Linked DNA regions of Ovis aries. The protein of the gene in region 1 interacts with the protein of each later gene in a pairwise test. Links are inferred from orthologs where the notes say so. Each region holds a gene or a part of one and is shown on either strand. Other genes may lie near its edges.

Region 1 (5,702 bases):
GTCCTTGCCTGGAGAATCCCAGGGACGGGGGAGCCTGGTGGGCTGCCGTCTATGGGGTCGCACAGAGTCGGACACGACTGAAGCGACTTAGCAGCAGCACACAACACTGTTACATCATACTATTTTGGGCTCTCCAAAGAGATGATCTCGTTTGCCGTGATATTTTCAGTCTGCTTGGTACAGCCATATCCACATTTCAATCCACATTTTAAATTGCAGAGCAGTTGCATCACGGGGCTTCCACCCACGTCCACTTATGTAGCCCTTAAAAGAAGCTGCCCTCTGCACACAAGCTTGCTGGTTGTCCATGTCACCATCTTGAACTTATAATCCGATGAGGGTAGAGACCTCAAATTCCCAATAGCTTTGGGCTTAAAAGTCCCATCTTTGGCAGCTCCTGTGAAAGTCATTTAGCTTCTCTGAAAGTCACCTCAGTGGCTGTGTCTACTGCCAGGGGTTACTGTGAGAGGCCAAGAAAGTGGTTACTAAGGTGTCATCAAGACCAAACAGAGGGCCAATTCTCCTGGTAAAGCTTAACCATTCCTGACCTAAAACACTAGAGCAAATCCTAACTGTCTTTATGAAAGAACGTGACAAAAAGTGAGCATCTGAAAGGACTCAAGCTACTTGAGGTACCAAATCCCAGACCCCCTTAGCTGACATCTGAAGCCAGCTCCTCAGTAGGTCTCCTCAACCAGTGGTATCACAGGCTTGGTTTCATGGGCCAAACTAATCTGCCCCTTGGGGTCACTGAGCCCTGAACCAGAGGTCTGGGCCAATTAAAAGCCCCTGGAACACCCCTCAAAGTTCTCCTTAGCCTCGGAGGTGGGGTCTCCGGCAGCATGACCCAAACCCCCAGCACAGCCTGGCCCGGTTTCCAAGAAAGAAAGGACAGTTTCTTCCTTGACATGTAGGACATGCCCTCATAGGTGGGAGAGGAGAAGCGGGGGGCTTCTTCATGGAAGAACGGGATACAGGAAGGAAGCAGGAGGGGAGACGTGTGGCCGTGGCTTTGTTAGGAAGGTGACCCAGAGATGCTGCTCTCGGGAGCAAAGTGCTCCCGGCTGTGACCTAAAGAAGCTGCATCAGTGCTAAGGACGCAGGAAGGGCCCTGGGTCCCGAGAGCTCCCGCTCAGATGCCTGAATCCCACCTGTGGCTGAGCTCCATCCTCAGCATCAGCCCTGGGCCTCCCTGGTGGCTCAGTCTGCCTGCAATGCAGGAGACCCTGGTTCCATCCCTGGGTCCGGAAGATCCCCTGGAGAAGGGAATGGCAGCCCACTCCAGTAGTCTTGCCCGGACAATCCCATGGACAGAGGAGCCTGGCGGGCTACAGTCCGTGGGGCTGCCGAGTAGCAAACGTGACTGAGCGACTAACACTTTCACTCTTCACTCTTCATCCTTCTCCCCAGCATCCGTTTTTAAAATACACGTGGTACTGGAAGGAAAGTGTATGAGATAACCAACTGCATGCTTCGGTCAGATCACCAGCCTTTTGTGTGGCAAATGGAGCCCACACAGGAGGGATGGTGGCTAGAAACGGGGGTAGGGCTAAGGGCAGAGGGGAGGTAATAAGACCAAAGCATCTTTCTGAAGCTAAGGGGTATCTAAGGAATAGGACCTTCGGGGATGGAGCTTTTGAGGTTGCTGGCCTCCCATCTGAAGCGTTGGGGAACAGAACTGGACAGTGACTTGCCAGTTTAGTTGCCAGGCACTGAGATTCTCTGCACTTCCACAGACCAGAAGAGACGTCCAAATGCCCTCAGCAGACTCCAAGTCTGTTGACCAAGTGTTTTTAAAGCCCTGCTTTTGCCAGCATTACTGAGGGTTATGGTCAGAGAATATTCAGCCCTCTGGGGTTACGTTTCAAGCCTGGGGAAGCTGAGACCCAGAATATGCTGGAAGGAAAGGCAGCTGCTGCTGCTGCTACTGCTGCTAAGTCACTTCAGTCGTGTCCAACTCTGTGCAACCCCATAGATGGCAGCCCACCAGGCTCCTCTGTCCCTAGGATTCTCCAGATCTGCCACTAATTTTCAGACCAGGTGACAAGGCTGAGTATCACGAGCATATGCTTAAATCAACTCCGCTCCCAAGTGCCATGAGAAAGTCAATGTTGGTTTTAATAAACGCTAACAGATAAGAGGATAATTTGCAGGTCAATGTAATTGATTTGGATAGAATCCTAATACTAACAGCAAAGAGGCTAAAGATGTCCTCTCTCATCGTATGTGGTAGTTTTAGCTAATTGTTTAACACAGAATCTTCCGAAATCCTCCTAACACTTTTTCAAACTGGCAGAGCTACAGGCATTGTCGGCCACAGATTCCATAGCTTCCAAAGAACAAACCCAAACAAAGGGGATTGAAAAAAGGCAACAGAGAGGGACAAGGCGGGGCCCTGGAGGGGTGATGGGACCCTATTCTGACCTGGTGAGGAGCCTTCATTAACAATCTCGCAGGAAACAGTGCCTTTATGAGATTCACAGAGAGTGCTCACTGGGAAAATGGGAGTGCTGGGGAGAACCGGTAGGTAGAAAAGGAATGGGGGGGGGGCGGGGGCAAGGGAGGTGGGGGGGGCAAGGGGGGGGGGGGGGGCAAGGGAGGTGGAGGGGCGGCGTGCAGAGAACTTGGGAAGGAAGTAACTAGGGAAGGCTGGCAAGTTAATGCCCTGGAGAGAAACAGATTAGAAAACACAAATATTTACTGTGAGGAAGGAAAACTGGAAATCAATAAGACCCGAAAAGACCTAAGGGTGATAACAAATAGAGAATCACAGACATTCGCAATGCAAATGAGAAGCGTTCAGGCAGGGTTGGGAGCTGGGGGGGTGCAGAGGCACTTTCTGGAGACACAGAGCTGCTCCTGCAATTTCTTCTCAAAACAAATGGACTCAGTCTCAGAACCAGAACGGAGCAGAATGTGGCAGATTCGTGCAGGGGCTTGGCAGTTAAGATGGGGGGTGGGGAGGCACCCTGTCCTAAAAGCCAGGGAAGAAGCAGGCGGCATGTGCCCAGCTTGTGGCAGAGGACGTGGGCACTGACCTGGCTTCAAGCCTCTAACTCCAGCTCCGCCATTACTAGTGGACTTGCTGAGGTTCCCAGTTCCCGGTCCTTTGCAATCTCTCCCTCGCTCTGCATGGCCCAGGGCCCCGATGTGACCAATCCAGTGCGCAGTCACTCTCCTTTCTTCCCCGTGTGACCCAGATCAACCCTTCCCCTGCCACCAGCCGTCAGCCTCTCCTTTGGGGAGGTCCAGTCGGCACACTGGTCCCTCTCACAGCCCGCTCAGATCATCTAAACGCAGAGGTGCCCCTTTATCCCCAGAGAGAAGGAAATGGCAACCCACTCCAGTACTCTTGCCTGGAGAATCCCATGGACAGAGGAGCCTGGCGGGGCCACAGTCCACGGGGTGGCAAAGAGTCGGGTGCGACTGAGCACGCTTCCCCCAGAGTGTGCCCAGCCCATCCTGGCAGGGGTCTGGAGCCTGACTCAGGACTTGTGCGCCTCCAGAGTACCCTGGACGCTCATCTGCCCGTGTGTGGCACAGGCAGCAGGTTGAACTCTAATTTCATGCCTCCAAGACCCCACTGGGGAGTCAACCCTCTCCCCACACATCCCTGGACAGAGCTTTCAGATCGTTACCTCTGCGTTGGATTCCTCCACCCTACATTTCAGCCCCTCTGGTTGCACCGCCATGATCTTCCCCCAGGGCCTTAGGTGACTCTGGAGAAGCAAGGCTGCCCCCTTTGTGACATAGCAGCAGAAACAATCCAATCAGGAGGACCCCTCCCGGGAAACGGCTGCTTAGCAGAAGGAGAACTGAGAATGTCCAGCCTGTCGCCCGTGCGCTGGCCTCCATTCTGACCCCCCCAGGCTCATCCCCCTTACGCTCTGTCCCTGGTACACGGCAGGCCCTAATTCTCCTGACCCCTCCACAGGAGCCCAGACCCCTCGGTCCATGTCCCAGGTGTATGGGTTCGGGCCTGTGCCCTTGATCCCAAGTCTCAGTTCTAATCCTCTACCCAGAAGTCCAGAGTAGTGCACAATGTGGGTGTGTGCTAAGTCGCTTCAGTCGTGTCCGACTCTGCAACCCTCTGGACTGTAGCCCGTTAGGCTCCTCTGTCCGTGGGATTCTCCAGGCAAGAATTCTGGAGTGGGTTGCCATTTCCTCCTCCAGGGGATCTTCCCCACCCAGGGATCGAACCCGGGTCTCTTGCGTCTTTTGCATTGGCAGGCGGTTTCTTTACCACTAGTGCCCCCTGGTGGTAAAGAAGCTCCAAACGCTCTAATTTTGAAAAGATTGTCACAGAAACTTCTAGTGGTCGGGCTGGATGGTCTTACCAGATCAATGAACCCACCCTCTCATCTGACCGGAAACCCAAGACTCCAAGTGACTAAGTGGACTGCCCCTGGCACACAGCTGGCTGGCAGCTGACCTTCAGCTAGAATCTGAGGCCCTGGCTACCACTGACCTGCAGTATCTTGCTAGAGCTTGGAAAGAGGGGGATTATTCTGGCCAAAACTGAGAGGTTACAGCCTTCAGTGTTCATCCCTACCTGAGGTAGAACCACATTGATGGGAATTTCTAGGCTTTCAGATCTGGTATCTCTTTTTCTTGTAAAATTTGGCCTCGAGTGCTGTGGAAAAGAGAAAATAGGCAGATTTCTGTTTTCCAGCCCATCGTCTGAGCCTCAGCTGCTCAACTGCAAAACAGGACTTCCTACTATTCACTTCTCCCCTCCTGTTAATTATGTACCTTACGAGAATGTGAAGATGGTATCTGATAAGATGCTTCATCAATCTCTGAACAGAAATTAAGACAGGTCTATATAGTTGATGACAAAGCCTTCTGAAAGTCTTTAGCTACTAGCTTTCCTAAGATTACTATTTCTAGCTCAAGGAAAAAGCCATACCAACGTTAGGTGCCAGGTATAGGTCCTGTGCAGAAGTTGGTCACCAAAACACTCAGAACATTCCAGAGGTGACATCACAAAACAATACGGTCTTTTTCAAGGCTCATGGTCTCTCTCTGAGCATCACAGGTGGGAATGAGGGGCCTGCTGGCCAGGCATCTGGTTGTGTCCACGTGGCCGGTCAGGGTCGGTGTGACACACAATAGCCCAGACACTGGACCCCTGTTTGGTCATCCTGGCTGACATTTGCAGCTCCACTGCCAGGCTGGACTGAGACCCCTTTCCTCTCTCCAGAGGTGGCATCTTCTACTTGGATTCCTCAAGAAGCAAGAAACCCAAATGGAACTCTTCCCAGACCAAGAGAAAAACAAATGGAGTCTGAGATGTTTTCTGACACCAACGCATTCTTCAATTCTCTGACGCCCATTGGAGGTCCTTCAATTCAATTCTGACACACCCTACCTGGCGTGAATGCCGGGTCCCCCAAGTTAAAGGGCTCAGTCCCCACAGAACTGCCCCCACCTCAGATGCCAGTCAAGGGTCTTGGGCCGCTGTTGCACGCATGCCGAGTCACTTCAGTCCGGTCTGACTCTGTGTGACCCTACGGGCTCTAAGCCTGCCAGGCTCCTCTGTCCCCGGGGGAAATCCCAGCTCTAGCCTGGGATTCTCCAGACGAGAATACTGGAGTGGGTTGCCATGCCCTCCTCCAGGGGATCTTCCCGACCCAAGGATCGAACCCGCATCTCTTATGTCTCATGCATTGGCAGGTGGGTTCTTTACCACTAGTGCCACC
Region 2 (5,634 bases), on another chromosome or scaffold:
AAGCTACAAAGCACAACGCAGAATAATCACTGACAGTGTAGCGCCACATGAAGCGCCACAGATATTAACAGGAAAGGAAACAGAAAGAGTAACAAAGTAGGCTTCTAAGCACCACTGGGACTTCCAATTTATGCACAATAAATAAAAAATAAATTTCATCTGCAGAGGACCCCATGGAGGGATTCAATGCTAAGAAAGCTGTTGCTCCTGGGACTGGGGACCTTAGGAAGGAGGAGAAAAAGAGAAAGAAAAAGCGGCCGTGAAGAGGAAAACTGGTGATAAAGATACAAGCGATTGTAGACAAAGTGCCTTCACAGACACACAGACACAACAGCTCTGCTCCCCATGGCAGTCCTGCAAGGCAGGCAAGGCTCAGATGAGGAAACGAAGCTCAGAAGAGATAGGACTCATCCACAAGGATCAGCTACAAAGTGAAGTGGGGACCGTGGACTCTGGGTCCAGGGCTTGGTTACCCACCCTGGGAGCCCCCGGCTCAGTGGGGTGGGATCTCAGAGGTCTCCTGCCTTGGGAAAGGTGCTTCCTGATCCTGTAAAAACTCGCCTTGGCTGACTGCTCTTTTTATTTTTTATTTTTATTTTTCGTGTTCCCAAACATGAACCCCCCTCCCACCTCCCTCCCGACTGCTCTTTTTAGCAAAGTTTTCTGCAGAGTCGAGACCCTAGTGGTCCAGCAGTTAACACTCCACACTGCCACTGCAGGGGGCATAGGTTCGATCCTTGGTCAGGGAACTAAGATCCCACGTGGGAAGCACCCCCCTCTACCTCCCAAAATAGCTTCAGTTGGAGGAGATATGTCATGGCCTTTTACCATTTACCTCTGTGGTCATCCTCCCCAATACCCATATCCCAGTCTAATAACGAGAAAAATGTCAGGCAAATCCCAACTGAAGGAAAACCTACAAAATACCTGACCAGTACTCCTTAAAACTGCCAAGGTCATTCACAAAAAGAAAAAGTCTAAAACCAGCAAAGCCCAAAGGAGCCTAAATCTAACATAAGATCTTGGATGGAATCCTGAGACAGTAAAAGGTTATGAGGGAAAAAGTGACGAAATCAGAACAAAGCATGGACTTCAGTTAATAACAGGGGTACCCAGGTGGCTCAGTGGTAAAGAATCTGTCTGCCAGTGTAGGAGACGCAGGTTCTATCCCTGGGTCAGGAAGATCCCCTGGAGAAGGAAATGGCAACCCACTCCAATATTCTCGTCTGGGAAATCCCATGGACAGAGGAGTCTGGCAGGCTACAGCCCATGCGGTTGCAAAGAGTTAGACAGGACTATTGCTATTGGCTTATTAATTGTAACAAGTGTACCATACTAATGTAAGATGGTAATAATAAGGAAACTCGGTGTGTATACATAGAAACTCTGTATTACCTTCGCAATTTTTCTACTGTTATAAAATACAAAGTTTCTTTCAAAAGAGAGCGAGAGATTGAGATCTAACGTACATAACAACCAGATTAAGAGCATGGATCCTGGTTTATACAGAACAACAAAAAATGTCCGCTTGGGAACTATTAGAGAAGTCTGCCTAACTGGGTATTTGGTGACAATGGAATTATTAAGTTCATTCCCTATGAAGATAAGACTCCTTTCACTATGCAGAGAAATGTTATTTTTTAAAGACACATGCTGCAGAAAGAATGTTGGTTTTGTTTGCTTTTTGCAGGATCTCAGTTCCCTAACCAGAGAAGGCAATGGCAACCCACTCTAGTACTCTTACCTGAAAAATCCCATGGACGGAGGAGCCTGGTAGGCTGCAGTCCATGGGGTTGCTAAGAGTCAGACACGACTGAGCGACTTCACTTTCCCTTTTCACTTTCATGCACTGGAGAAGGAACTGGCAACCCACTCCAGTGTTCTTGCCTGGAGAATCCCAGAGACGGCGGAGCCTGGTGGGCTGCCGTCTATGGGGTTGCACAGAGTCAGACACGACTGAAATAACTTAGCAACAGCAGCAGTTCCCTAACCAGGGATGGAACCCATCGCCCCTACAGTGGAAAAGCAAAGTCCTAGTTGTTGGACCACTAGGGAAGTTCCAGGAATGTTGGTTTGCCCTCAGAATAAACTCCAAACTCCCACCCAATGCCTAGATCTGAATCCCTGTAAACTGGTGCGAGGTGCTCTCTAATTTAGCAGCACTAAATCCTTCTCTCTCATTTAGTACCACTCTGGGCTTCACTCACCACAATGGTGCCACATCAGCCTTCCTTCTGGCTCCTCCTGCTCTGGGGTCTTGGCCCGGCCTGTGCCTTCCCGCCAGGGCCAAACCAGAAGTAGTCCCTTCCTTCCCTTGCTCTTCTTCATCAGCCTGTTTTCTTCAGTGCCTCAGCTTCTTTTGTGTGTAAACCTTGTGTCTCTCTCTACTAGAATGTAAATTCCCTGAGGGCAAAGATCTTTTCCCAACTTGTTGGCCATCTCACCAGCATTTAGAACAATACTTTGCTCACAGGGTACCAGCCCAACAAACACCTGACGTGTGAATAAATCAATAGGTCTGAGACCAGAACAACTACAGGTGCCATAAGCCCTTCCGAGTGAACGCTATTTCTCTTGATGGTGAAACATATAAGATAAAGAGGTTTTAAAAGAGCGCTCAACTCCCCCGCCCCCACCCCGCCCCTCCAAGGGGCTTCAATCCATTCCCATTTATGATCTTACCTCTAACCGACAGGGAAGGTAGACAGGTAGAAATGGTCCTGGGCGTGGGTTCCAGGCCAGACTCAAGCCACCCGTGAACCTGTACGCTGTGTTGGCCGCGGAGGCATTACAGACACTACGAAAGTCTGCCTTCGCTGCTGAGAGACGGCCGAAGAGCCCTTTCCCAACAACTCATTTCTAACTCGTTACCTCATCAGGCACCTAGGAGAGCGCCCCATCCTTACCAATAGCAAACTCCACCAGGGTCTCATTCTCCTCCGACAGCGAATCGAGGAATAAATCCAAGACCTGCAGCTGCCGCAGATACTGGTAGTTACCGGGGTCATAGGCGAAGTTGGCGAGGTTGGCCAACACTTGCTCCTTGGCGTCTGCGATGGAGAAGCGGGCAGTGGCGCCAGGGTCGGGGCGGTGGTCGCGGCTGGACCCCGGCCCAGCCCCCCCTGCCCCCCACCCCGAGACACTCACCTTGGCTCTGCGTCTCCTGGAATTCCGTGACCAGCGCCTGCAGATACCCCAGCCGACCGACGTGGGGGTCTACCTTCGGCTTCTGGGCCATGGGCGGGCGGCGAGGGGCCCCGGGGAGCGGGCGGGAGAGTGTGGAAGGTTGAGGCTGGGGCGCGGGGCTAGGACCCCACCTGGCTTCGCGGGGCCGGGGAGGGGAAACGAATTCTCCAGCAGCTTGCAGCTGAGACTGGGCTGTGGGAGACGCGGTGGGGACTCAGAACCTCGTAGGAGTTGGGACTGAACACCTAAGTCGGGGACCAGGAGACAAGGACCCACTCTCGCGCCGCGTGAGGAAGGCCCGTCCCAGCTGGGCGGGACGTTCGGCTTGGTTCCGGACTTCCGGGGGAAGCGGCACTTGGCCACGCCCAAAGGGCCAAAGGGGCGGGGCGACGAGGCGAGGGGCGATGGGCGGGGCCGTCGCTGAGCGTGGGCCCGCTTCCAGCGTTTTGTCTCTCGCAGGCGGCGATCCGCCTCTTGATGGAAGTGGTGACTGAAGCCTGCGGTTGTGTTGAGGCGAGCCCCAAGGGCCCGTAGGAGCTCAGAGGTGCCGGGGGTCGCCTGTGTGGGGGACTGTCGGGGTAGAAGCACCTTCAGATGCACCCGCGCTTGGCGATGGGCCGCAGTCCCCGCCCCTCCACCATCCAGGGACGCCGTGGAAACGCGAGCGCCTGCTCCTTGTGTCCCCTCTGTGGCTCTTCTGACACTACCTTCTGGTCGGCTCTTCCCAAAAGCCCAGTGAGGACTTCCCTGGTGGTTCGGTGCTTAAGACTCTGCTCCCAGTGGAGGGGACACGCTTGGATCCCTGGTGGGGGAACTGTGACCCTGTATGCCCGAGGCGAGGCCAAGATGAAAACAAGTCAGCGCGCCTGGTATCCTCTGCTCCCCAGTCCCGAGCTGAGCCTGCCAGGTGGCGGGGCGCACCCGGGGCAGCACCATCGGACCCCAGAAATACTACTTTGGTGGCTTTCTGGGTTGTGGGGAGCCCAGAATGCTGAAGCCCTCCTATCTAGTCCTTTCTCAGTTTCTCAGGAAGGGGTCAGGTGACAGAGCACCAGGGAGGAAGGTGGCCCTCTTGGACTCCAGCGTGTTTCAAAATGTGGGGGTGGAAGCGGCTTAGGCTGTGAATTTCTGGAGGGCAAGGGCCTTGCGCAAGGACAGTGACTGCCACACTCCAGCTTGCCACAGCCCCACTGGGAGCAGCCCCCACCTGGTGGGCTCAGGTGGCTGTGATCAGCCCCAGCCCTATGCACACACCTGGGGCTTGGGGACCCTGGCTGCTTCTTGCAGGGTAGTGTCCCCAGGCCCCTCACCAGAACCTTCACATTTTAAGGAGAGCTGATTCGACCTGGGGAAGTCTATCTCAGCCCAATGTGGCCAGGGGGCTTCTCTGCTCCTGTCTGGATGGAGCAGTAAAGATCTAGGGACAGGACAGAAGTGGGCTCTACCCCACACTGGTCAGGAACTGCTCTGGACCCTCTCTAGAGGAATCCCAGGATCAGCCAAGTGTGGATTCTGGAATCTGATGGGCCATCACATCCTCCATTACTTGCCCCCTCCTAAGGCTTTGGAAAAGCCCCTGATGCTGAGAAAGATTGAACGCAGGAGAAGGGGATGACAGAGGATGAGATGGTTGGATGGCATTACCTACTCAATGGACATGAGTTAGGGCAAGCTCCAGAGAGCTGGGAGATGGCCAGGGAAACCTGGTGTGCTGCAGTCCATGGAGTCGCAGAGTTGGACACGACTGAGTGCCTGAACTGAACTGAATTAAGGCTTCCGAGGCCCTCACCTCTGCAAAGAATTCTTTAAGTCCTTGGTTTTGTGACCAGGTCTTACTCCTCTCTGCCCAGTTCGTGACACACAGTAGCTCAATATTTGTTGAAGGAATTCTGCCCAGAAATGATTGCCACTCTTGCCCAGGGTAGGGAGTGGGGGAGGGCAGGCAGAGGAGGTCAAAGTTCTCTATCCTAAATGTTTACTAATATCTTTTTTCCTTGAAAAGAAATGTTTTCAAGAGTGGGCCTAAAAGGGGATGCATGTTTCAAAGCCATGTGGCTACTAGCACCAAAAAGGATTCATCTAGGGACCTCCCTGGAGGTTAAGACTCCGTACTTCCATTGCGAAGGGTATGCATGGGTTTGGTCCTTGGTCCTAGTCAGGGAACTTCAAGATCCCACATGCCGCGCATGTAGTGCTTCAAAAAAAAAAAGTATTCACCCACCCACCAGCCCCAGCTCTCTCCTCTTCCACTCAGTTAAGATGGAGGAGGCAGGACATGATAAAATGTGCCCAGCTGTGCATTCTCCCTTCAGTGTACAAGCTGTGGATGGTGACCAAGTGCAGACAGGTTGGGGCACAGGGAGGCAGTGGGGGGTCTTTAGGATCAGACTTTTCAGACTGGAAGAGACCTTAGCTTATCTAGGCCAACCTTCTCTGTTTTCTGCGTGC
Region 3 (5,662 bases), on another chromosome or scaffold:
CTTCCCTCTTGCTTGAGACTTTCACTTGTGCTTCACTGTACATGGGCTGCTCCTAGCAACCCACGTCTCAGGCCACTGCACACAAATTCCAGTGTTCACAACAAACTCGTCTGCCTGCCCCAGCCCCAACCCCCAAGCCCTCTCTTCCCTGTGTGTGCTCAGCCTCAGGGAAAGGCAAGGCCACCACCAAGCCAAACCCACATTCATCCTCAGCTCCTCCTCCCGCCTCACAGCCCCTCTGCTGCTGCTGCTGCTAAGTCGCTTCAGTCGTGTCCGACTCTGTGAGACCCCATAGACGGCAGCCCACCAGGCTCCCCCGTCCCTCGGATTCTCCAGGCAAGAACAGTGGAGTGGGTTGCCGTTTCCTTCTCCAATGCATGAAAGTGAAAAGTGAAAGTGAAGTCGCTCAGTCCTATCCGACTCCTACTGACTCCATGGACTGCAGCCTACCAGGCTCCTCCTTCCATGGGATCTGCCAGGCAAGAGTACTGGAGTGGGTTGCCATTGCCTTCTCCCACAGCCCCTCAGCAAACCACAAAATCCTAAGTTCACCTTCCAGTGCCCTCTTGGGTGTTCCTTTCTACGCTCACTGAGCACCGTTGTTCAGGCTACCATCACCTCTCACTGGGCCCCCCAACCACGGGGACCCCCCTACTCTGGTCTCCACACCAGTCAGTGATCTGTGGAAACCACTTAAACAGGGTGCTATGCTCTGCCTGCAGCCACCGCCCTGGTGGTCAAGCCTGGCCTCAAGCTGAAAGATGGCAGGGGCAGGATGGTACCCTCCCCTGCTGACTCCAGGGCCAGCCCGGCTGGCCACACAGCCACGAGAACCACCACTGCCTCAGAAATACCATATTACTCGGAGATGGAGCACTTGCTCCTAGGAGGCTCTGCCTGCCCGGATCCCGGGCTCCTCTCCTGCAGAGCAGGGCTGCATGGCTACATTCTGAGGAAACAAGCAGAAGCACCCAGAGATTCTCCAGGGCAGCAGCCAGAGCTGCCCATCAAAGTCTCCCACCCAATCCTGAGAAACAGTAGCAACAGTAACTGCCTAATTCTTTAAAACTAAGGAGATGGTGCAGGAGGGTGCCCACTAGTGGCTGGCATGCAGCAGTACTAATGGTCACTACGGCAGAGCTTTGCCTCCCTGCCCTGACAGTCCAGGGGCTCACAGGGAACCTCCTATGGGATCCTGGGACCTGGAGACTTCACAGCTATCAGGAAGTCATTATGAGGGGGCCTTGCTCACTTCTCGGCCTCAATTATGCAGTCTTTACGGTCAAGCTCATTCAGAGTCCAGAAGTGTCCTTACAGAAGTTCCGGTGTGAGAAGCATGACCAAGCTCTGGGGAGGACCTCAAGCCCAATCACCAAGAGGGAGACTGCCGGAGAACCCGAACCTTCACAATGGGAGGGTCTCAGTTTTCACCTGAACCCGGGTCAAAGGAGAGGACAAAAATGTGGAGTTAAGAGGACTTGAGCCCTTACTTGGGTTTTGTTTTATTGTTTTTAAAGGAAGGGGAGACTGACTGGCCTCCATCAAGTTGCTTCTGGTGAAATCAAAGTGGAAGTTTCTTTCACATTGCAGGAAGTAATGATCAATCATACCCTTTTCTGTAACCAGGAAGGCAACAGCCCATCACTGACCTTAACAAGGACGCCTTGGAAAAACATCACAGGTTCACCTAGTTTGGTATTACATATGTGCAAACAACAGCGTCCAGGTATCTAGACCGTATACTCTACGTTCTTTCAGTTTCTATCCAAGAGTCCGAACCTGCCACAAAGCCCAAGCCCACAAAAATGAGCCGGTAAAAAGCTGGAGAGTTAGAATCAAGCACACGTATCTCCCCAAACTGGGGGCCTGCCCGGAAAAGCTTTTTGTTGTCTATAGTATTGTCATTTTCGGAACCAAAGGCTTTAAATGATATTTTGCAAGTTCATTCAGAGCTAAAAAACCATCAACTTCATTAAAAGGGCGCTCAGAGGCCTCCCTGTCGTCCACCGGGTTGGGACCTTTCCCCAAGGCTTCCCTAAACCCCACTCTTTCTCTGGGGAGAGAGAGCTGACATTCGCGTCCCCTCCGCGATTCCCCAACAGTTACCTCGCTTGAACTCCTCCAGGACGGCGTCCAGCTTGGTGTCGTTGAAGACGAAGTGAAGTGGGTGATTGTAGAAGCGGGTGATGGTGCTGAGCGGCGTGCAGTCTTCGGGGTCCACGAAAGCTAAGTCCTTGAGATAGAGCATGTCCACGATGTTGGAGCGCTCGTCCTCGTAAACGGGGATGCGCGTGTGGCCGCTCTGCATGATGCTGGCCAGGACGCCGAAGTCCAGCACGGTGCTGGCATCTAGCATGAAGCAGTCCTCGAGGGGCGTGAGCACGTCCTCCACTGTCCGGCAGGGCAGCACGCCCTTGCTGAGATCGCTGTAGGGGTCGCCGCCGCCGCGCGCCAGCTCCAGCACGCGCTCGCGCAGCCTCCCTGGCCGCGCCGCCAGCTCCAGCAGCTGGCCCACCGGCAGCGCTACGGGCAGGGTGAGCAGCACCGCCAAGCGGCTGAGGATCAGCGCGCGCGGCGCCAGCGCCAACGTCCAGCGCCCGCTCACGGCGGCCGGCACCACCTCGCCCACCAGGAACACGAGCCCCGCGCTGCCTAGCACGGCAGGCACGGCGCGCTGGCCGGCCGCGCGGTACAGCAGAACGGCCAGCGCCGCCTGCGCCAGGCTGGCCAGCAGCAGCAGCGCGCCCAGGGCGCAGCCCGCCCAGCGCCGTGCGGGCTCCAGGCGCCGCGCCGCCGCACGCTCCGCCTCCGAGCCGCTCTCGCGCAGCACCTGCACCTCGGCGGGCGACAGCGCCAGTGCGCTCAGCTGTAGGCCCCGCGCCAGGGCCGCCAGCGCCAACAGCCCCGCCGCCCCCAGGCCCAGAGCCCAGGGCGGCGCCTCCTCCTCGGCCGCCGAGCCGCCCGGCTCCACACGCACAGCCAGCAGCGCCGAGTGCGGGCGCGCGGCCTCGGCGCGCAGGCGCAGCAGTGCGCGCCACTCGCCCGTGAGGGCTGCCGCCTCTTCGGCCGCCGAACCCCCCGGCTCCCCGCGCACCGCCAGCCGCACAGAGTGCGGGCGCGCGGCCTCGGCGCGCAGGCGCAGCAACGCACGCCACTCGCCCGTGGGAGCCGCCGCTTCGTCGGGCGCGACGGCCGGCCCGCCCTCGGGGCAACCCGCCCCCTCAGGAGCCACCCAGGACCAGGAGCTGTTGGAGAAGCCCGAGCCGAAGAGGCGCAAGCGGAAGGTGGCCTCCGGCGCGGCCCGCACCTCCCCTTCGTGCGCCCACCCCGCGCCCGCCGCTCCGTCCTCCTCTAGACAGACGCCCAGCACTCGCGGGCCCGGCGCCGCTTCTCCAGCGGCGTTGCCCAGGCAGAGCGCGGCGAGCAACCAGCCTAGCCGACCCGCCGCCGCCGCCGCCATCGCCTGCTGCCCCCTCTCGGCCTCCCGTGCAGCCTACCTCTCCGCCTCCGCCGGGCCAATCGTCGCCAGCCCTGGAGCCTCTTCAGCCAATAGGCGGCGGGCGGGGGCGGGCCCCAGGGTCGGACTAGGCTGCGCCGGGGAGTAAACAAGCGCGGCGCGATCCCGGGGCGGGCCGGGGGCGTGGGGCTCTGGGCCCTGTGGGCCTGGGCCGCGGCACCCGGAGGACGCTGGGCGGCCAGCTGGCCCGCTCTCCGCGGGGGTCTAGTTCCCTTCGGCCGTCCCCAGCGCAGGGAGGCCAGGCCCGTACTCTGGGAAGTCCCTGGCTCGGCACTTGGGCCGCCGAGAGCAGTGGAGCTCCTGAAATTGCAGATAGATAATTTAACGAAGGGAGACGGTCCGTTTCCTCAGAAACCGACGACCCAAACCTCGAAGAGGGCTAAAAGAACCGACGACCGGGCGTCGGAAGCTAAAGCTTATTGAGAGTATTCCTTGATCGCGCGCGACTCTGCTATGGGTCTGGGACGTGACACACACTCAGTCCCTCCTTAGATGAACTTGCACCCCTGCCAGAGAGAACGAAGGACGTAAATACACGAAATCACCGCCTCATTGGATCCTCGCAGCTACTTCGTTATTGATACACTTTACTAGAGAAAAGTGAACACTACTCGGGCACGGATGAGGGGTTCCAAAGCGACCAGCCTAATATCCTGTCGCCATCCCAGCAACACTAGGAGTTGGCATCTCTGTCAGAAATTACTGTATCTGGTCACTTCACTTCTAGGAGAGCATCCTTGGGAAAGTAATTCCTAACGACCAACAGGAACTATTCAAGAGGATCCTCCCAGGATTGTTGTTTTAGAAGACTGTATGGTCCTTGACAGTATGGAATGTTCCTCAACCTGTTATATGTGAACTTTACCTGGTTGGAAGGAAACACGCAAGCTAACAAGACTTCTCTATAAGTGTCCCGACAAAATGGTTTTTTTGTATTTTCTGCATTTTTATGTATTTTCAACTTTCCTAACATAAGTAGACTGATAAGAGCATCCATATACGTGTCATTTAAAATGGTCTTTGCAAGGGCTGTATAGAAACACATATGTTGTCATGAAAATACTATTAAAAAGCTTAGGCACTGTGGTCACAATTAAGTGAAATATACTTGTGTGGAAGGTAATGTGCAAAAATGAGTAAACCTGTGGTGAGTGACCAACAAAAGTATTGTGTGAAAAACTCCAGAATAAGCTGCCAGCAGAAGCAATTATGACCTTTGACCCTTTCCACCGGACTGGCATGCCTCTTTTGAAAAAATAATAATAGACTCAGTCCCTTTGGTTCACACTTCTGTTTCCAAGTCCAGATAAAAATGCTGACACAGATAGAATGGACAACAGCTTGAAATGAGCCACATGCCTGAAAAGTTAACCAGCAAAGAACAGTTCCAGAGGCAAGGTGGGAAAAACGCCCAGTACATCTACACAGGGCTCTGACCTCTGACAAGTTACTTTTCCTCTGGTCCCAGACTCCCTTGGAAAACAACCTTGTAACTTATTTTGGCAGGGAAACCTTTGGATAGAACAATCAGATCACACTTGGAAAACACAAATGATGATTTAAACCATGAGACCCAAAGGATCCAGTGCAGGGCAAACAAAGTTGCCCATGAATGACTTTCTGTGAACAACATAGGTCCCACACCACTTTACCAGCTTCTGTCTTGCTTGGCTCTGCACCATTCTTTAGTCCATTATCACAGCCTCGGTGGAGACACTTGTCACCAGACTTTCAGGTCCCCCATGGGCGATTTTCCTTTCTGGCCATTCAGCTCAAGACATTTCCATGTTTTATCGAAATATTTACTGTTGAGTTTTAAACCCATAACTAATGTGTGTGACCCCTGACTGACTCTTCCTCCTCTCGTCTATACGTCACTTCCTCCAGCCAGTTTTCCTCAACCATCGTTACTAGGTTCAATCAAGGTTATAGGAGCAGCATGCTCCCCTCCAATAAAATCCGGTACTTACCTTCTGGTAAGGCCCATTCATTCATTCATTCAACAAGTATTTCCTGCAGCCGGTGCTTGCAGTGCACCGGGACTGCAGTTGAAATAACAAATACCCTGACCTGCTGGAGCTTAAGCTCTAGTGTGAGGACAACAAAAAATACACAAATCCTTATTTTAATACGTGACAGTTAAGT
Region 4 (5,613 bases), on another chromosome or scaffold:
TATTTTCCTGGGCTCCAAAATCACTGCAGATGGTGACTGCAGCCATGAAATTAAAAGACACTTGCTCCTTGGAAGAAAAGCTATGACCAACCTAGACAGCACATTAAAAAGCAAAGGTAGTACTTTACTGACAAAGGTCCATCTAGTCAACGCTCTGTTTTTTCCAGTAGTCATGTATGGATGTGAGAGTTGGACCATAAAGAAAGCTCAGCGCCAAAGAATTGATGCTTTTGAACTATCGTGACAGTTCAAGACTCTTGAGTCATCTCCAACTGCAAGGAGATCAAACCAGTTAATCCTGAAGGAAATCAATACTGAATATTCATTGGAAGGACTGATGCTGAAGCTGAAACTCCAATGCTTCGGCCACCTGATGCAAAGAACTGACTTACTGGAAAAGACCCTGATGCTGGGAATGATTGAAGGCAGGAGGAGAAGGGGACAACAGAGTGCACATGAGTTTGAGCAGGCTCCAGGAGTTGGTGATAGACAGGGAAGCCTGGCGTGCTACAGTCCATAGGGTCACAAAGAATCTGACACAACTGAGCGACTGAACTGAAGAGCTCTAAAACAATGCCCAATTCGCAAAATAATTCAAAATATTCTCTGCCGTCTCAACCCCTAGACTGATGTTAGGCTTTAGGAGTAGAGCTTTTAGCCAACAGTTTTGCGATGTTCAGTGACTTGTAAGCAAATAATCTCAACACCTCCCCACTAATGCTGGAACAGAACTCTGTCCAGACCTAGAAAGCTGAAACAAACTGCAGAGAACTGAAAAGGCTCTGAAGCAGCCTTTGAGTTTGGTGGGCCTCAAAAGATTTTGTTTCACCAAGAAGGGAATTTTGGAAGGTAGAACAGCACCTACAAAAACCTAGGAAGTCCTGGAAATAGTAAAAGTATAGATGGAATGAAAAAGGCTGACGGCATGGATAGAAACAGAAGCCATACCAGTTAGGCATTTAATCCAGCACACAGGTTGTTGCCTTTTATTTCACTAGTAGACAAATGGATCAAGTATTGCAGTCAGTCTCACATTTGTCTTGTGGTCTCATAAGGAGAAAAGCTTGGCTTTTTTTCCTCTTTAGCCCCAGTGCAACTGGAACTTTGTAGATGGTGCGCCAGGCAGAGAAAACACTCAAATCTGCTGAGGCCAAATTTCCCCTGGCAGGGCACCCTCAGTACCTTCCAAAGAGCGACTCGAGCTGGTAATGAAGATGGAAAAATAAGTTACTTTCCAAGTTATCTTGATTCATCCTCAAGGAAGGCCTACCATGGGTGGTTATTCTGAGTAAGAGGCAGGTAGTCCGATAGTTAGGATGGGTGCCAAACTTCCTGGCTTTGAATCTGCCCTCATCAGTCACTAGCGATGTAACTTTGGACAAGATAGCTAACCTGTGTCTTACAGTCCACAGCTGTAAATTGGGAATAACAAAAGTTACAGTATTTGAGATACTGGGGAAACTAACGTTTAAAAAAAAAAAAAACTATTAAAAACTTCTATTTGAATACAGAAACTGAAGTCCTGGGAGGGAAAAGAATGCCCAGTCACACAGCAAATTAGTGATGCAGCTGGGACTGAAATACAGGTCTGATGCCCAGCCCAGTATTCTCCCCCTACTCCTCACAGTTCCTAGACAGTCACAGATGTTCACATGGACAGAGGAGCCTGGCAGGTTACAGTCTGTGGGGTCGCAAGAGTCGGACACGACTGGGCGACTAAGCACAGACACACACACACACACACACACACAGATGTTCACAGCAGGAGGGACGGGGTAGTGGAGGCGTGCAGAAAAAAGTAGCCATCCGGAAGGCTCTAGGAGCTGAATCATAGCTTCTGCGTGATAGAAACAAGGTTGACGTGATTTGTGCAGAATGACTGGCTCCTTTCAGACCTCCTGGGTCTGCGGCTCCGAGGACTGGAGCCCTATTGCATCTTGGGAGTCAGGGGTTAGCCCCGATGCATGGAGGGACGCGTAGTCCTTTCCCTCCCCCGCCTTTCCAACTCACCCTCCTCGGAGGCCGCCTTCGCTGCATCTTTCCCAGCAAGCCCCGCGCTAGCGCGGGCTATTGATTGGCTGCGGCGCGAGCAGGAGGCTCTGCCGGCAGCAGTTATCCAGGGTTTCCGGTGCAAGGCCAGAGCGGGCGAAGCCGTCGGGGTGTCGGCGGTGGGGGTGCGTACGGCGGCGGCTAGGGGGAACAACGCGAGCGGAGGGTCTGTGGTCTCAGATGGTTTTGGCCGGTGCGGGGAATCGCGCGGGTTCAATGTGACGGCTCGGGCCTGGGGGGGGGGCGGGGGGGCAGGGGTGTGGCCTGTGCGCATGCGCGCGGGGGCGCGCGCGGCTCTTGGGCGCGCGGGGCGTGGGTGGCTGCGCTCGCGCGACGGGGGTGCGCCCACGTGGGGCCAGAGAGGCGGGGAGGAACCGGGAACCGGGAATCCAGCGTCCCGCCACGTCAGTCCCGGGCCTTGAGCCTGTTCCGCGTGCGGCTTGTGGTGAGGGGCCAGTGTTGTGCTGGGAAGTGACTTCTGGAAAAAGGAGGCCTGGCTGGGCACACCGGACAGACCAGAGACTGGGAGAACCGCTGACTCCCTCCGGTGAAGGCCTGCCGGTTTGTTTCAAGCTTCGCGCGCCCCCTGATATTGAGATTTATGATCCAAGTCTGGAAAATAGCAATGTGTTTGTTTCTATAGGATCTGCTCCTAACCTGACATTGCAAACTACAATGAAGAACCAAGACAAAAAGAATGGGCCTGCCAAGCAATCAGGCAACACTTCCAACCCCAAAAACACTCCGGGGCAACCGGAAGCAGGACCTGAGGGAGCCCAGGGGAGGCCCAGCCAGTCGGCTCCTGCGACAGAAGCTGAAGGTTCCACCAGCCAGGCTGCAGGGAAGGCAGAGGGTGTGTGCCAGCTCTGCTTTTCCAATGCGCAGGGGGAGGAGTTTGTGGCGCGCCGGTCTAGCTTCTGGAATTAGAGGCCCAGGCCACTGTTTACCCAGCAGAGAGGAAATGTGGAGAGGAGGCCAATGCTGAGTCTGCGCAGCCCCCACCAGGCACTGGGGAGTGGATACAGCCTCCCATTCAAAGCACAGGGGCAGACCTCCAGACAAGGCTCTGACAGGATTAAGTCAGGTTGAGGTTGGCAGTCAGATGAGACTTCCAACCAGCAAATCCAGGTTAGAAACACCTCATTCACAAGTGGGTAACTGATGTTTATACTTGAGGCATTTCTGGTGCTTTTTTTTTTCCTCTCCCAGAGAAGGATTTATTACTTGAAGAAAGTAAAGAGAAAACTTGATTTCCCAAAGCACTGTCTCCTCCGAACTGTTTTTGTTTTTTTTTTTTTAAGACAGCACCCAGTGGCTTGCAGGATCTTAGTTCCTACCAGGGATGGAACCTCCCCTCACCCGGTGAAGCCCAGAGTCCTAACCACTGGACTGCCAGGGAATTCCCTGGAACTTTTTTAATATCAAGAGGCAACATTGGCAGGGTGGAGAAGGGAATGGACTAGAGTTGAGATGTAGAGTTCCTGCTACATGATGGCACCCCTGTGTGTTGGATGGTCTGCTTAGTTGATTTTTTTTATGCTCAAAATAAGCGTGGTTGGAGAGTAGTGAGAAATAGTTGGCTTATAGGGAAGTAAGCTAAGGCTTAGAGAATTTAGGCAACATTTACCCAAACCAATATGTTTGGGCCTGAAAAATCCCAACTAGCGGCCTAACCATCTTATTTCCCTCTCTGCCTTTCATCCTCTCCTGTAGGAGCACAAGCCAAGAGTGCTCAGTCTGGAGCCCTCTGTGATGTCTCTGAGGAGTTGAGCCGCCAGCTGGAAGACATCCTCAGTACATACTGTGTGGACAACAGTCAGGGGGGCCCAGGTGAGGATGTGGCACAGGGTGAGCCTGCTGAACCCGAAGATGCAGAGAAGTCCCGGACCTATGCCTCAAGGAATGGGGAGCCTGAGCCAGAGACTCCAGTAGTCAATGGTGAGAAGGAGATCTCCAAGGGGGAGCCGGGCCCGGACGAGATCCGGACCAGTGATGAGGTCGTAGACCGAGACCACCGAAGGCCACAGGAGAAGAAGAAAGCCAAGGGTCTGGGTGAGCAGAGAACAGCTACTTGTGAGGGGAGGGAGTTTGGACCTGACATACCTGGGCCAGCCCACTCTGCAAGGATTCAGAAGAAACCTGACTTCCAGAGCTGCCAAACCACATAGTCTAATCAAAGCCGCGACAGTGGGGCCATCATGTAGAGGTGTGCGGTTGTTCATTGCATTAGGGGAACAAGTGCAAACCAAAGGCCAATATACTCTTTGAGAAGATGGGAAGCAGGAGTCATCAGTAGGCATCCTGTGCCATCACCATTTCTAATTTGCTCTGTGACCTTAGGCAAGACAGTTCTCCTCTCTGTTCCTTAGTTTTCACTTCTCTACACAATAAGAGAATTGGACTAGACCAGAGTTGAAAACTCAGAGAAGTTAAGCTTAGCCAGAGGGCCCCAGGAGACCAAGAGAATACCTCATTTATCCAAAGGCTTGACTGCCACCTGGTCCCAGTGAGCTGATAGTGTGTTAGAACTGTAGCTGGCTGCCTTTTTTAGCCACAAATATAGTTACGTGAAATCTCTAGATTTGTAACAGTTGGCAACTAACAGGATAGGAGCCAAACAAAACCCATCTGTGGGTTGGATTTGGCCTGTGTGCCAACGATTTGCATTCTCTGCATTGGTCTCTCAGAGCCTCCGGGGGTTGACACTTCAGGAACCTGTCACAGTGCTATGCATGGTGGCCCCCTCTGACTCAGGCACAGGCAGTGGAGGAGTCACTTGGGTGGGGATGGAGAGTGAGTGGGTTAAAGAAGCAAGGTGATGTTATACCCACATCTTATGGGGTCACTACTCCCCCACCCCCTCCTTGTTATCCTAATTTAAAGAAGTGTGTAGGTTTTTTTTTTTAATTTTATGATCAGATATCGAAAGGTATATTTATTTATTGGCAGGGGTATAGTCATTTTAAAGTACACTGTTGGCTGCCTCTGTTGACTGAAGTGCAGTGTTCTTGAGGAGACCTATTCCTTTTGTGTCCTTCCTTTTTCAGAAGGGCTTTCTTTGCATTGAAAGTGAAAGTCGTTCAGTCGTGTCCCACTCTTCACAACCCCATGGACTATACAGTCCATGGACTTCTCCAGGTCAGAATACTGGAGTGGGTAGCCTTTTCCTTCTCCGGGGGATCTTCCCAACCCAGGGATCAAACCCAGGTCTCCTGCATTGCAGGCAGATTCTTTACCGCTGAACCACCAAGGAAGCCCTACTTTGCATTGAAACAGCACTGAATTCACAGGTGGGATACCTTTTTTTCACCTGTAGGTAGAGCAGGCAGTTTTCTTTCTCCCACTCCTGGTGCTCATCTCTGAGATTTCATAGAGACTCATTCTTTTTTTTTTGTCTTTTTTATAAAGATCTTTGTGTAATGGGTGGATTGATTCATTGATTATTTTGGCTGCACTGCATGGCTTGCGGGATCTTGGTTCCCTGACCAGAGATTGAATCTGCACCCTTGGTAGTAAACACGTGGAGCCCTAACCACTGGACTGTGAGGGAACTCCCTCAGTCCT

What was found.
Region 2: the proteins of CBY2 (region 1) and ARMC7 interact in binary tests that used the Homo sapiens proteins (3 or more experiments, as listed by UniProt). The two-hybrid records come from large-scale screens. The link is inferred for Ovis aries from reciprocal best matches to the Homo sapiens genes CBY2 and ARMC7.
Region 3: the proteins of CBY2 (region 1) and CNNM3 interact in binary tests that used the Homo sapiens proteins (3 or more experiments, as listed by UniProt). The two-hybrid records come from large-scale screens. The link is inferred for Ovis aries from reciprocal best matches to the Homo sapiens genes CBY2 and CNNM3.
Region 4: the proteins of CBY2 (region 1) and TXLNA interact in binary tests that used the Homo sapiens proteins (3 or more experiments, as listed by UniProt). The two-hybrid records come from large-scale screens. The link is inferred for Ovis aries from reciprocal best matches to the Homo sapiens genes CBY2 and TXLNA.

The regions. Positions count from the first base shown.
Region 1 is NC_056063.1:16,145,183-16,150,884, reverse strand, and holds the start of CBY2 (protein chibby homolog 2), read right to left. Parts: upstream 3,693-5,702; coding exon 3,639-3,692; intron 1-3,638.
Region 2 is NC_056064.1:55,672,732-55,678,365, forward strand, and holds the start of ARMC7 (armadillo repeat-containing protein 7), read right to left. Parts: upstream 3,496-5,634; 5' UTR 3,239-3,495; coding exon 3,148-3,238; intron 3,051-3,147; coding exon 2,907-3,050; coding exon of another isoform or gene 2,894-2,906; intron 214-2,893; coding exon of another isoform or gene 156-213; exon of another isoform or gene 1-155. UniProt on the Homo sapiens protein: As a component of the minor spliceosome, involved in the splicing of U12-type introns in pre-mRNAs.
Region 3 is NC_056056.1:103,717,869-103,723,530, forward strand, and holds the start of CNNM3 (metal transporter CNNM3), read right to left. Parts: upstream 3,496-5,662; 5' UTR 3,461-3,495; coding exon 2,107-3,460; intron 1-2,106. UniProt on the Homo sapiens protein: Probable metal transporter.
Region 4 is NC_056055.1:235,341,619-235,347,231, reverse strand, and holds the start of TXLNA (alpha-taxilin), read left to right. Parts: upstream 1-2,118; 5' UTR 2,119-2,215; intron 2,216-2,329; exon of another isoform or gene 2,330-2,610; intron 2,611-2,692; 5' UTR 2,693-2,724; coding exon 2,725-2,902; intron 2,903-3,762; coding exon 3,763-4,101; intron 4,102-4,107; exon of another isoform or gene 4,108-5,187; intron 5,188-5,272; exon of another isoform or gene 5,273-5,613. UniProt on the Homo sapiens protein: May be involved in intracellular vesicle traffic and potentially in calcium-dependent exocytosis in neuroendocrine cells.